2 linked regions of the Macaca fascicularis genome follow. The protein of the gene in region 2 purifies or fractionates together with the protein of the main gene of each other region. This does not show direct contact. Links are inferred from orthologs where the notes say so. Each region holds a gene or a part of one and is shown on either strand. Other genes may lie near its edges.

The links. The genes of interacting proteins can lie anywhere in the genome.
Region 1: the proteins of HIPK2 (region 2) and AXIN1 purify together in Homo sapiens (affinity purification with western blotting; 3 studies listed by BioGRID). This does not show direct contact. The link is inferred for Macaca fascicularis from reciprocal best matches to the Homo sapiens genes HIPK2 and AXIN1.

The regions. Positions count from the first base shown.
Region 1 is NC_088394.1:1,102,127-1,108,121, forward strand, and holds part of AXIN1 (axin-1), read right to left. Parts: intron 3,118-5,995; 5' UTR 3,037-3,117; coding exon 2,159-3,036; intron 1-2,158. UniProt on the Homo sapiens protein: Component of the beta-catenin destruction complex required for regulating CTNNB1 levels through phosphorylation and ubiquitination, and modulating Wnt-signaling.
Region 2 is NC_088377.1:181,248,651-181,254,645, forward strand, and holds part of HIPK2 (homeodomain-interacting protein kinase 2), read right to left. Parts: intron 4,317-5,995; coding exon 4,156-4,316; intron 2,401-4,155; coding exon 1,930-2,400; 3' UTR 1-1,929.

The DNA.
Region 1 (5,995 bases), on a different chromosome or scaffold from region 2:
GCCTGGCCAACATGGCGAAACCCCATCTCCACTAAAAATACAAAAATTAGCTGGGCGTGGTGGCAAGCGCCTATAATCCCAGCTACTTGGGAGGCTGAGGCGAGAGAATCGCTTGAACCTGGAAGGTGGTAGTTGCAGTGAGCCGAGATCGTGCCACTGCACTCCAGCCTGGGTGACAGAGTGAGACTCCATCTCAAAATAAAAAAAAGACTCACCACAACCTCCACCTCCCAGGTTCAAGTGATTGTCCTGCCTCAGTCTCCCGAGTAGCTGGGATTACAGGCATGCAACACTGCACCCATCTAATTGTTGTATTTTTAGTAGAGATGGGGTTTCACCACGTTGGCCAGGATGGTCTCGAACTCCCAACCTCAGGTGATCTGCCCACCTAGGCCTCCCAAAGTGCTGGGATTACAGGAGTGAGTCACCACGCCCAGTCGACAGTCCATCTTAAATCGTATCACTTAGACTAAAGGGGTTTAACCTTAGAAATGTTTAATCCTGTGTTTATGAGCCAGCAGCGGATTTCTGTGTCACAGTAAGCTTGAAGAACTGATGCGAGTTTTTTTTTTTGTTTTTTTTTTTTTTTTTTTTTTTTTTTTTTTTTTTTTTTGAGACGGAGTCTTGCTCTGTCGCCCAGGCTGGGGTGCAGTGGCCGGATCTCAGCTCACTGCAAGCTCCGCCTCCCAGGTTTAGGCCATTCTCCTACCTCAGCCTCCCGAGTAGCTGGGACTACAGGGGCCCGCCAACTCGCCCGGCTAGTTTTTTTTTTTGAATTTTTTAGTAGAGACGGGGTTTCACCGTGTTAGCGAGGACGGTCTCGATCTCCTGACCTTGTGATCCGCCCGTCTCGGCCTCCCAAAGTGCTGGGATTACAGGCTTGAGCCACCGCGCCCGGCCTGATGCGAGTTTTTAATAACTCCTCGGGAGAGTCCCAGCACGTGGGGCTGTGCTTTCGGAGTCTTGATTAAATCAACAGGGGTCGAATGAATTCCAGGCTTTCAAAGTTACACAGGCCGGAGCCTCCGGTCACCAGCTCTAGGGAAAGCGTGGGAAATGTATGTGCTCTGTTCACAAGCACAACAGATGCCAGCCCAAAAGTCAAATAAACCTCCAGGAACCACGCAGGGATCACAGGGAAGGAAGAATAAAGAAACAGGTTTCAAGGCTGAGCACCACTCTGCTCCGTCCCAGGCAGCACAAACACCCCACATGCCCAGCGAGGATCGCCTCAGGGCCCACGCTGCTGTGGACTACACAACACCACCAACAGATTTTGTTGGCAGGAAAAAAGGCCCAATCCTGGAATGCCCACCACAGCCACAAGAAGTTTTCAAAGTACTATGACCATTCCCCACACGTAAAACATCCCCCCTACTATTTCTCAGCCTCTAGGAAGAAGCTTAGAAGATCATTATAAAAGCAACAATCTGGCCGGGCGCGGCGGCTCACGCCTGTAATCCCAGCAGTTTGGGAGGCCGAGGCGGGTGGATCACCTGAGGTCGGGAGTTCGAGACCAGTCTGGCCAACGTGGAGAAACCCCGTCTCTACTAAAAATGCAAAATTAGCCGGGCGTGGTGGCACATGCCTGTAATCCCAGCTACTTAAGAGGCTGAGGCAGGAGAATCGTCCAAACCCAGGAAGCGAAAGTTGCAGTGAGCCGAGATTGTGCCACTGCACTCCAGCCTGGGCAACAAGAGTGAAACTCTGTCTCAAAAAAAAAAAAAAAAAAGCAAGAATCCAATCATCCAAGTATTGATGCCCTGAAACGTCCACTCCTCCCTTTATTAAGCGCAAAGGACCATGTCTACCGGATAGATCCAGATCCTATTTAAGAGAGTACAGACTCTACTGATGAAGGGTAAAGTTTACATGTCATCGTGACTTTGAAGAATTCCGAGGTTCCTAATGACTCATAAAGTCATCTATTTTAGTCTGGTCTGTTCTCAGTAAAAGTACTCTCAACATTACAAATATACAAAAGTATCTAATGACAAATGCAAAAGTATCACGAATAAGAACAGAACCAAAATTCAACCCCAACTGCAGCAGGACATCCAGTGTGGGTTAACGCCCGCCTCATCAGCACCTTTCTCTGGCTTGTTCTCCAGCTCTCGGAGGTGAGTACAGAAAGCAGGACGCTTGGCGTCGGACTCACCTGAACTCTCTGCCTTCGCTGTACCGTCTACTGGAGGAGGCCCTCGGGGCAGCTGTCTCCAGGAGCAGCTTCTGAGGGAGTCTTCCGGGAGGAGCAGCGTCTCTGCCATCGTCCTCGTCCATGTCCTGGTCACATTTCCATTCCTCATCTTCATTTAAAGTCGGCAGGTATCCAGATATGCCCTTCCCTGTCCCTGACCCAGAGCTCTGGTCACTACAGACTTTCGGGCTCTCCGAGCCTGTCCTCGTATATTCCAAATAAATATCAGACTTAAGGAAAGAGGGGTAGGTGTTTTCCTCCATAGTGGCCTGGATTTCTGTCTGGGCCTGGTCAAACATGGCAGGATCGATCAGCTGCTTCATGATGCAGCCCTTTATGAAGCTCTTGGTGGCTGGCTTGGTCTGCCGGGACACGATGCCATTGTTATCAAGGATGTACTTTCGATAGATGGCTCTCGCCAGCTTCAGCCTCTTTTCCTCGTTCGAGTCACAGGGCTCCAGCTTCCTGAAGCCAGTGCAGGCAAACCAGAAGTCCAGCAAATCGGCACAGCCCTCCTGCTTCAGGAAAGTCCTGAATAGGCTTATCCCATCTTGGTCATCCAGCAGGGAGTGCAGTGACTCAGCCCACTTCAAGTATGGTGGGGTGGGGGAGGCACTGCCCTCAGGCTCATACCCCAGGTCCAGATCCGAGCGCCTCGGAGTGGCCGTCGAAGTCTCAGCTTTAATGCCAACACCTTTCCCAGAGCAGAAACTGTAGCTGGCGGGCCTCGGGTCTGTGGACACCAGTTCTCCCTCCTCACCAGGCACTGGGGGTCGGGGAGCATCTTCGGTGAAACTTGCTCCGAGGTCCAAGGGGAAACCCTGCTCTTGGATATTCATTTTGGGACTCTGCGTCAATGAACAATGAGCGCTGCACCCTAATACATCAGTACTTACAGCTCCAAAGTGAATCAATCTGTCCTGTTGAAACCATTAAGAGGACAAGGATTAGGAAAGGTGGGTCCATGAAACACGACCAGAGGTTTTCTCAAGACAAGACTCACGATGATGCCCTCCCGCTCAAACTCAAAGCAAGAAACTCAGTTTAAATGTTCAGTCGAGCTATATTTTGGCTACAAGCATAGTTCCACTTTAAAACAATTTCTGGAAACTTTTACAACTACAGGAATGCCTCTCATGCTAAGAAGGGATGCCCAGGACACGGGAATGCCACTCCCCACAAGTCTCACTGCATGAACATCACGGAGGCTGGCAGCTTGAGCACCTCCCACCTCAGCTGCAGAGCTGAGTGACAGGGAAGACAGGAAGGCCGGAGGCAGGAAAGCTGCCTCTAGTCCTGGCTATGTGTATAAACCTGAGTGAGGGCTGGACCGTCACAAGTAAGATGGAGACAATCACTCCACCAGCCCCAACAACACTCAGAGAGAAAGGAAGGCGCGCTGCAGCCCCGAAGGTGGTGGGCGTCTTCTGAACCCCACATCCTCCAGGCTCAAGGCCACCGTTTTCCGCCTTTGCGTCACGTCACACGCGGTACACCTTGCAACACATGAGAACACACGGCACGGTGTTCCTCCAACTCTCAACACGCGCCTCAAAGAGAGATAATCATGGGTCACCTTCAGCCCCATCAACCAGGGGATCATGGACACCACCCACGCCCAGAGGCGCTCGGACACCGCCACTGGAGACAATCTTAACACGCTCTATCAGAATGCTGCACTTGACTCTTAAAAGCCTCTCTGATGAGGATTCAGATAGCAAATAGTAAATGGGTAACTTAAGGAACAGAAAAGGTACAGAATAAGAGGAAATGCAAATACAGTTTGTAGCTAAGGAAGCTATAGTTCATGTGACTTCACTCCTTAAGCTGAAAACCGAACCACCCACCCTCTTAGACATCAGAGAACTATAGAATTTGCTGCTACTACTGCTGCTGCTGCTACAAGCCTGCAAGGAGTATGCAAAAGAGACTAGGTAAGGGCTCCAACAGAACCCCTGCCATGGTCTGTGGTCCTTCCTGCCACGAACTATAGGAGCCCAGGAGCTCTGGCTATGCCTCTCAACCTGGCCACGCAGGTGACTGCCACACAGCCTGCCATGATGTAAGTGGTCCTGGCTAAAAGGGACTGGAGAGAGGGCTTTAGAGAAGCATGTTGGGTTCAAAAGCCTGGAGTGCTGAACAAGCCACAGGGAACAAATAAAACCCTAAAACCCAGGACCAACTCAAGGGGGATCTCCCAGCCACCACTCCACACTGCTGTCCCTGGTCTACATGGAATCTGTCCCCCACATCAACTTCCTCACATTGCACACACTTTACCAGCCAACAGCTGCTCCTGGCTGGAAGCAAGAAGGATCCACAGAGCCAGGCATGGTGTCACGCACCTGTAGTCTCAACTACTCAGGAGGCTGAGGCTGGAGGATCCCTTGAGTCCAGGAGTTCAAGACTAACCTGGGCAACATAGTGAGACCCAATCTCTACAAAAAAACTTTCTTAATTAGCCAGGTATGGTGGTGTATGCCTGTAGTCCCAGCTACTTGGAAAGCTGGGGCAAGAGGATCCCTTGACCCCAGGACTTCAAGGGTGCAGTGAGCTATAATCGCATGCCACTGCACTCCAGCCTGGGCAACAGAGCAAGATCCTGTCTCTAAAACAATAAAATAAAATTAGTAAATAAATAAGAAGTACCTATAGATGGAGGATGGGTTGCAACTATGTGCCCCCAGTGACATTTCAGCAGCTAAGGACTTTTTGGGAACGCTGCTGGGTAGTGTGTCATCTTGGTCTCAGCAGGAACACAGCTTCTAAAGGTCAAGGCCCAGTGAGCTGTGCTATCCTGCTGCTCACACACCACTTCAGCGGCAGCCACTCTGTGAGCCCTATCAGCATGGAGGGAGCACCCTAGGTGTGGGCACCTCCACACTAGCTCACGGTCATCTGTCTGGGACGCCGTCACAGGAAAGAAGGCCTGCACCCTGACCACCTGAGCCTTACCGTGATAGATGCGCTGCCATTCACTAGCTTGAATATTCATCAATGAATATTTAATTCATTGATTTTTAATTCAATGATATTTAATTCTTTGATTTAATTCATTGATGTAAAAAAGACAGACATTTGTCACAGATGCCAAACACTGGCTCTCTACAGATGCTGAACTACTGTACTACAGAAAACAGCAGCAAATTCTTCCAAAACTAATGGGTTTTGTTGTTTTGTTTTTTTTTGTTATTTTGAGACAGGGTCTCGCTCTGTCGCCCAGGCTGGAGTGCAGTGGGGCGAGTTCAGCTGACTGCAGCCTCAGCTTCCCAGGCTCAAGCAACTCTCCAGCCTCAGCCTCTCATATGGCGGGGACTACAAGCAGGAGCCACCAACGCCCGGCTAATTCTTGTATTTTTTGTAGAGATGGGGTTTCACCATGTTGGGCAGGCTGGTCTCAAACTCTTGAGCTCAAAGCAATCTGCCCATCTCGGCCTCCCAAAGTGTTGGGATTACAGGCCACCTTGCCTGGCCCCAAAACTAATGTTTTAATTCATGTGTGAACCAAGTCCACCTTAATTATTTTAAACTATTTTTCAGAGCCCAGGAGAAAATTTTTTTATAATCATGTGTATTTTGGGCTGTCAACTGACAGAAGACTTTTTGGTGTCCCTGGAAGCACATGAACCCCTCCACAAGTTACTGATGTTGTTAAAACATATCCCAATTCCTGAAATCTCTGGGTTTCCACATGGAAGCACACCAAGCATTTAGTGTACACACACGTAGACACCACACATAAAGCAGTTATGTTTACTCAGGTTAGCATCAAATGCCCGCAAGCACTGAATCTGGCCC
Region 2 (5,995 bases):
GAGAAAACTTCCAGAATGTGTCAAAGGTGCAAAGAGGGCAAAGGGCAGATTTCTTTGGAAATTTAACTGTGTGAATTTTTCCAAAGTGCAGCGTCAGACCCCCGGTCACCCTCATAAGTGTCCCTCCAACCTTCTGCCCACCAGAACCCTTGGAAACCAAAACCAAAATCATGTCTTGAGCAGACCTGGGTAATGTGAGGAGAGAATTCAACAGCAAACAGAGGTTGGTGGTTGTCTACAGAGGGAGGGATCTGGCAAGATCGTTAGAGCAAAACAGCCCAGGGAGTCGTAGGAGAGAGTGGAGTCCCATGCGAGGCTGAGAGCTCCAGGCTCTCACCGTGGGAGGGACTAGGGGGTGCTGCCTGGGGCGGGAGACAGCTGCCTGGCAAGGCCAACAGTCCCGAAACCTCTGGCCTCACAAATGGCAGAGCTGGGGACAGAGTGGGGCAGGGGTGAAGGGTGGGGAGTCTCTCTGGGCCTCCGCCCACAAAGTACAACTCAACTACTACCACAACTCAACTCCCGCTGTCCCCATCTCCAGACGCACCTGCCAGGCATCTGTCTCCCATATTTCTTTCAAGATCCACGGACTCTCTCCTAGCTCCTGCCAGCTTCCCTGGCATCCTTCCGCTAGCAAACAGCCCAGGAAAGACAATGGGCATTAACATTTTAAAAAGAAAAAGAAAAAAAAAAAAGGCCAGAGTAAACTGTTACAACAGCACAACAGAAGAGCTGAGATTGTGTCTGACTAGCCTCAGTTTCTTGGAGTACCAGTGGAAGTAAACCCTCACGCCGCGTCTGTCGCTCGGTAAGGCACTAGGAGGGAAGGATGCAGTGTCAAGACTGCGCCAGCTAGGGTGGCGGCGCCGAGGGCCACCCGGGGAGGGCGGTGCGTGCACACTCACACGCGCTCGCTCACCCGCACACCTGCACCGCCACATTGGTTACATGCCTATGTTATATCGCTTTTTTTTTTGTGCAATTACATTGAGGAATATTCTATTGGTATCATTGGAGTTGAACACAAGGTAGGAGACAAGGGTGCTGAGTGCTACATTCTACTAGGGTGTCCGTGACGACCGCTAGCCCTACGCTATGCGACTAGGGGTGGACTCAAAGAGAAAATACATTTTCAGAAAAGAAAAAAAAATCTAAAGTTTGCAACACACATTATTAATGACATTTGAGGAACAACATTGCTTAGGGATTTATCCAGAGTGCTCAGAAAAAGAAAACCCGCCCCGCGCCCCCGGGGGCCTTCCAGCAGCCTGGCGTTCCCCGTCTTTCCTGACTAGGGAGCCTGGACTCAGCCTCGCCAACCCCACACCAGCTCCAAACATCAGCCTCCTCAGGCTGCAGCCTGACGTTCTGGAGAGCTGTTGACCCTTTCGAGTTCTGGAAAAATCCCTAAATCTTATGTTCAATTAATTAAAAATCTATTTGATTTCCATATCAGGTGTCCCTGACAGCAAAGTCTTCCGTATCACTTGCTGCCATATGAAAATAATCTTTGAAAAGTTCATAAAGTTCTTCAAAAACTGGGGCCCCCCGCTTCTGGAATCTTCCTGTTGCTCTCTTCTCCTTTCCAGTTTGGCGTAGAATGGGTTCTTGAGCTGTGTTTTTTGTTATTGACTTTTTTTTTTTTCCTTTTTCTTTTTTAAAATAAAAACCATAGATTTCCCACCCTCTATAATCCCTTCCTCTTAAAAATGTTCTCTTCTCTGCTCTACGTCCTCCCACTTCCCGGTTCAAGTTTCACTGGTGTCCCGTCCCGTCCCCCTGCCCCCCGCCCCTACCCCTTTTGCATTGTTTGTGTGCGGCATCTTCAGTATAAAAGGCCAGCGCCCACGGTCCCAGGAGCGCCTCCCTCCTTCTCTCCCTCCTCCCTCGGGCCATTCTCTCCCTCCCTCCCTCCCTCCCCTCCAGTGTTTATATGTAAGGGTACTGGTTGACCTTGGCGGGGCTCAGTGGGTATCCAGTGTAGACGGTGGAGGCTGGCGAGGCGCTGATGTAGGTCTGGTGGGCAAACTGGGCTGGATACTGACTCGGGTGGATGGTGGGTGAGGGCAGGACCCGGGGGCCCATGCTCACGGGGACCTGGTGGACGATGCTGGCTGGGTAGGCAGTGTGCTGAACGGTGTGGCGCGCCGAGCCTTGCGAGGCCACCAGGTGGGCCACGGTGCCGGTGGAGCCCAGGGCCGCAGGCGCGGTGTAGGTGTAGAGGTGAGGCTGGGTGGGGAGGTGGGCGGCGGCGGCGGCTGCAGCCAGGTGGGGGTGGACAGTGCCGTGGCTGGGGCTGTTGTGCGGGAAGGAGTAGGGAGCCTGGGCCATGGTGGGAGTGATATAGGCCTGCTGCCGTCGGTGGCTCCCAGTGCGGTCCGCGGTGATGTGCTGCTGAGCCTGGGGAGGAGAGGCACCAAGAGAGACGTCAGGGGCTGACACATGGGGAGGAAGGAATGGGAGGAGGGGCAGGAGGGCAGGAAGGAGGAAGAGAAGGGAAAGACGCCAGAAGTGACAGAAAGGGCTTCCCTCTGTGTGTTGAGAAAGTAAAAATTTACTTGGGACCCAGCGTGGTGGCTCATGCCTGTAATCCCAGCACTTTGGGATGCAGAGGTGGGCGGATCACCTGAGGTCAGGAGTTCGAGACTAGCCTGGCCAATATGGCGAAACCCCGTCTCTATTAAAATACAAAAAAATTAGCCGGGCATGGTGGCATGAGCCTTGCCTGTAGTCCCAGCTACTCGGTGGGCTGAGGCACGAGAATCACTTGAACCTCGGAGGTAGTAGACGTTGCAGTGAGCTGAGATCACACAAGTGCACTCCAGCCTGGGTGACAGAGTGAGACTCTGTCTCAAAAAAAAAAAAAAAAAAGTCACTTGGACTGAGAAAGTCCCGACTTGGCCTGCCACTCACCAGGCTGGGGTGATACACGATAAAGCCAGCTGCAAAGTTACAGGAGAAAATATTTCTCCCAAGGACACATAGAAGCTGTGGCATTATCAGGATGCCCCAGGTTGGAGTGCAGTGGCATGAACCTAGCTCACTGCAGCCTTGAACTCCTGGCCTAGAATGATCCCCCCCGCCTTGGGCTGCCGAGAAGCTGGGACTACAGGAGTGAGCCACCGCACCCGGCCAGGACACACTCTTTGAGCAGCAATTGCTTTTTCACTCACTGTAAAATCTTGTTCTCAAAATTGTTGGCTCTCACAGCATCTCTACAAAAAATTTTGAAAATTAGCTAGGTGTGGTGGCTCATGCCTGTAGTCTCAGCTACTCGGGAGGCTAAGGTGGGAGGATTACTCGAGGCAGGAGGCAGAGGCTGCAGTGAGAGCCATGACTGTGCTACTGCACTTGAGCCTGGGTGACAGAAAAAGACCCTGTCTTTAAAAAAAAAAAAAAAAAAAAAAAAAAAAAAAGGGTTGGCTCTCAGAGGCATCGCTGTCCAAGGTTCTGTCAGTCCAAATAAAATAGCCCTGTCCTACCTGGAGAACCTAAGTCACGTGACAGAGACACAGGCTCCACTGATGACCTGGGCAGCACTTCAGCTGAGAAGCTCTGAACACAAACACCCCATTTATCTCATCTTGTTTCTAGAGAAACAGGGGCCCTGAGTCCACCGTGTGAGTCAGGCCTGATGAAGAGCCCTTGACACAGCCCTGTGCCTGCAGAAACTCGGGTCACTCCCATTTCACCTCAACCCACCCCCCTTCCTCCAGGTCCTGGGACAACTCTTCCCTTCACTTGGGGGCTGTGGTGTGTGGGCCCTCCCTGCAATGAGTCGGATGCAGGTCTGTCCCTGGAGTCCCAGGCCGACAGGGCCGGGACACGGTGCTCTACCCTTTGCTGGGTTGAAACAGCAATATGTGGGCCATCCTATTTTTAAGCTCTAGCACCATGTCACTAAGGGCTTTGTAACATTAGACAAGTTGCTTTGCTTTGGGCCAGCTCTCTGTACACCGGTGATATCAACTTCCCCCAGGGTGACCTGTGGTGGAAGAAGCCACCAGAGGTCACCAAGGGCATGTGCTGCCCACCCGTGGCCAGGACTGCAGCCCTGTGAGGTGGGTGAGGGGCCGTCATAGTGATCCTCTCTGAAGCGGAAGGATGAGGGGATGGGGGCTCTGCCTGGCCTGGGGCGCCAGCCGTGGGGCTTACCTGACTGAGATTGAGCGGCTGCTGCTGCTGGAAGTGGGGGCCTGGCCGCTGCTGCCGGTAGGTGATGGCTCCAGATGAGCTCCCTGAAGAGTGACCGCTGGTGGAGGTCACGTTGCTGGAGGACTTGGACTTGTAGGAGGACGAGTGGTGACTGGTGTTGACTGTGGCAGGAGGAGAAAGAGGTCAGATGGGTGGCAGGGTCCCAGCTGCCCAGAAGATGCTACCCCACCAGAGAAAAGTGGTATTCCAGGAAGAAACATGTGCCTGAAGCCGGGCAGTCACAAATCAGCCTCATCTCCTCTGGACCCACTAGGACTTTGCCTTGACTCTGGATGCAGTGGGGCTCTGGCTCACTCGCTTGGCTGGGAGGGTGGATGGGGCTGCATGAGGGGACGAAGAAGGGAAAGCGGAAAGAATCAGGAGAGGCAAGGTGGGCCGGCAGCCTAAGGCCAGGCCCAGTGCTGCTCCTCTGGGAGGTGTGACTTCCAGCATCTGGAAAATGGGTGGGAGAGATCTGCTATAATTTGAATGTGTTCCCTGAAGTTCTTGTGTTAGAAACTTAGTCCCCAGTGCAAGTGTTTAGGGTGGGGCCAGTCAGGGATGTTAGCTTCTGAGGGCAGAGCCCTCACGAGTGTATGACTTATCAGTGCATTAATGTTGTTATCTCGGGAGTGGGTTAGCTATTGAGAGATTGGCTTTTTTGATGAAAACAAGTCTGGGCCCCTCACCCTCATGCTCTCTTGTCCTTCTGCCTCCTGTGCTGGGAAGACGCAGCACAAAGGTCCTCGCCAGATGCTGGCACCCTGTTCTTGGACTTCCAGCCTTCAGAACCGTGAGCCAAATAAACTTCTATTGATTATAAATTACTCAGTCTCAGGTACTCTGTTACAGCAATACAAAATAGACTAAGACAGGATCCCTGCTTGGTCCCCACCGTGGGTGACTATGAGTATCAGAGGAGACAGTGTCTGTAGTGGGACATAATGAACTACTAGAAGCTAAAATAACCCTCAGAGTCACCTGGTCTAGTTACCTGCCTCTAGGCAGGATGAGACTAAGTCATCCAGGAGTGGCCCTGTGAGCCAAACACAGCCAAGCACAAAATGGCTTCCATGTTATTGCCAAGGGGGCTGAAGAGTGGAAGAAACACTGCGACCCACCAGAGGTGACCTCATGGTCAGCAGGTGGCTCGATCAACACTTCCCAAATGTAATTCCTGCATCTTGTTCAGCAGCTCTGGGAGGCCTGAGCATCTGCATTTCTGACAAGCTCCCAGGGAGTGCCAGTGCTGCTGGGCAGTGGACAACGCTCTGAGTAGTCAGGGGCTCTGAGAGAGGCAGGTTGAACCCTGAGCTGGATGTCTTCCATGTTACCCGGCCAGAGAGCCACAGGAGCCTCTTCAGAGCCCAGTGGTTTTAACACATCCAAGTATTTTCTGAGCTCCTGCTGTGTGCTAAGGACAGTGACTGTGTACCACCAGGGACGGGGGTGGCAGGGAGAATGCTGAAAGCGTGAATAAGGAGGAGGCATCACAGATTCCACAGATGAGGTGGCGAGGCCAGAGGATAAACCAGGTGAAGATGCTGACAGGCAGGGACAGCCCAAGTCCAGGGAGGCCACCAGAACAGGACAGGGCAGGACAGGGCATGAGTGTCCAGCCCAGCAGGGGCAAGAGCCCCAGAGAGCGGGAGTTCTGCTGCTGTGTAGGGGTCATCTCCCCACCTCGGGTGGTGGAGCTCTGCAGGCAGGACCATCGCCCCTTGATAAAAGCAGAAGAGATGCTTTACCTCAGCTCTCCTCCAGAAGGGGGCCGCCTAACACACAATGCAGTATTAATACA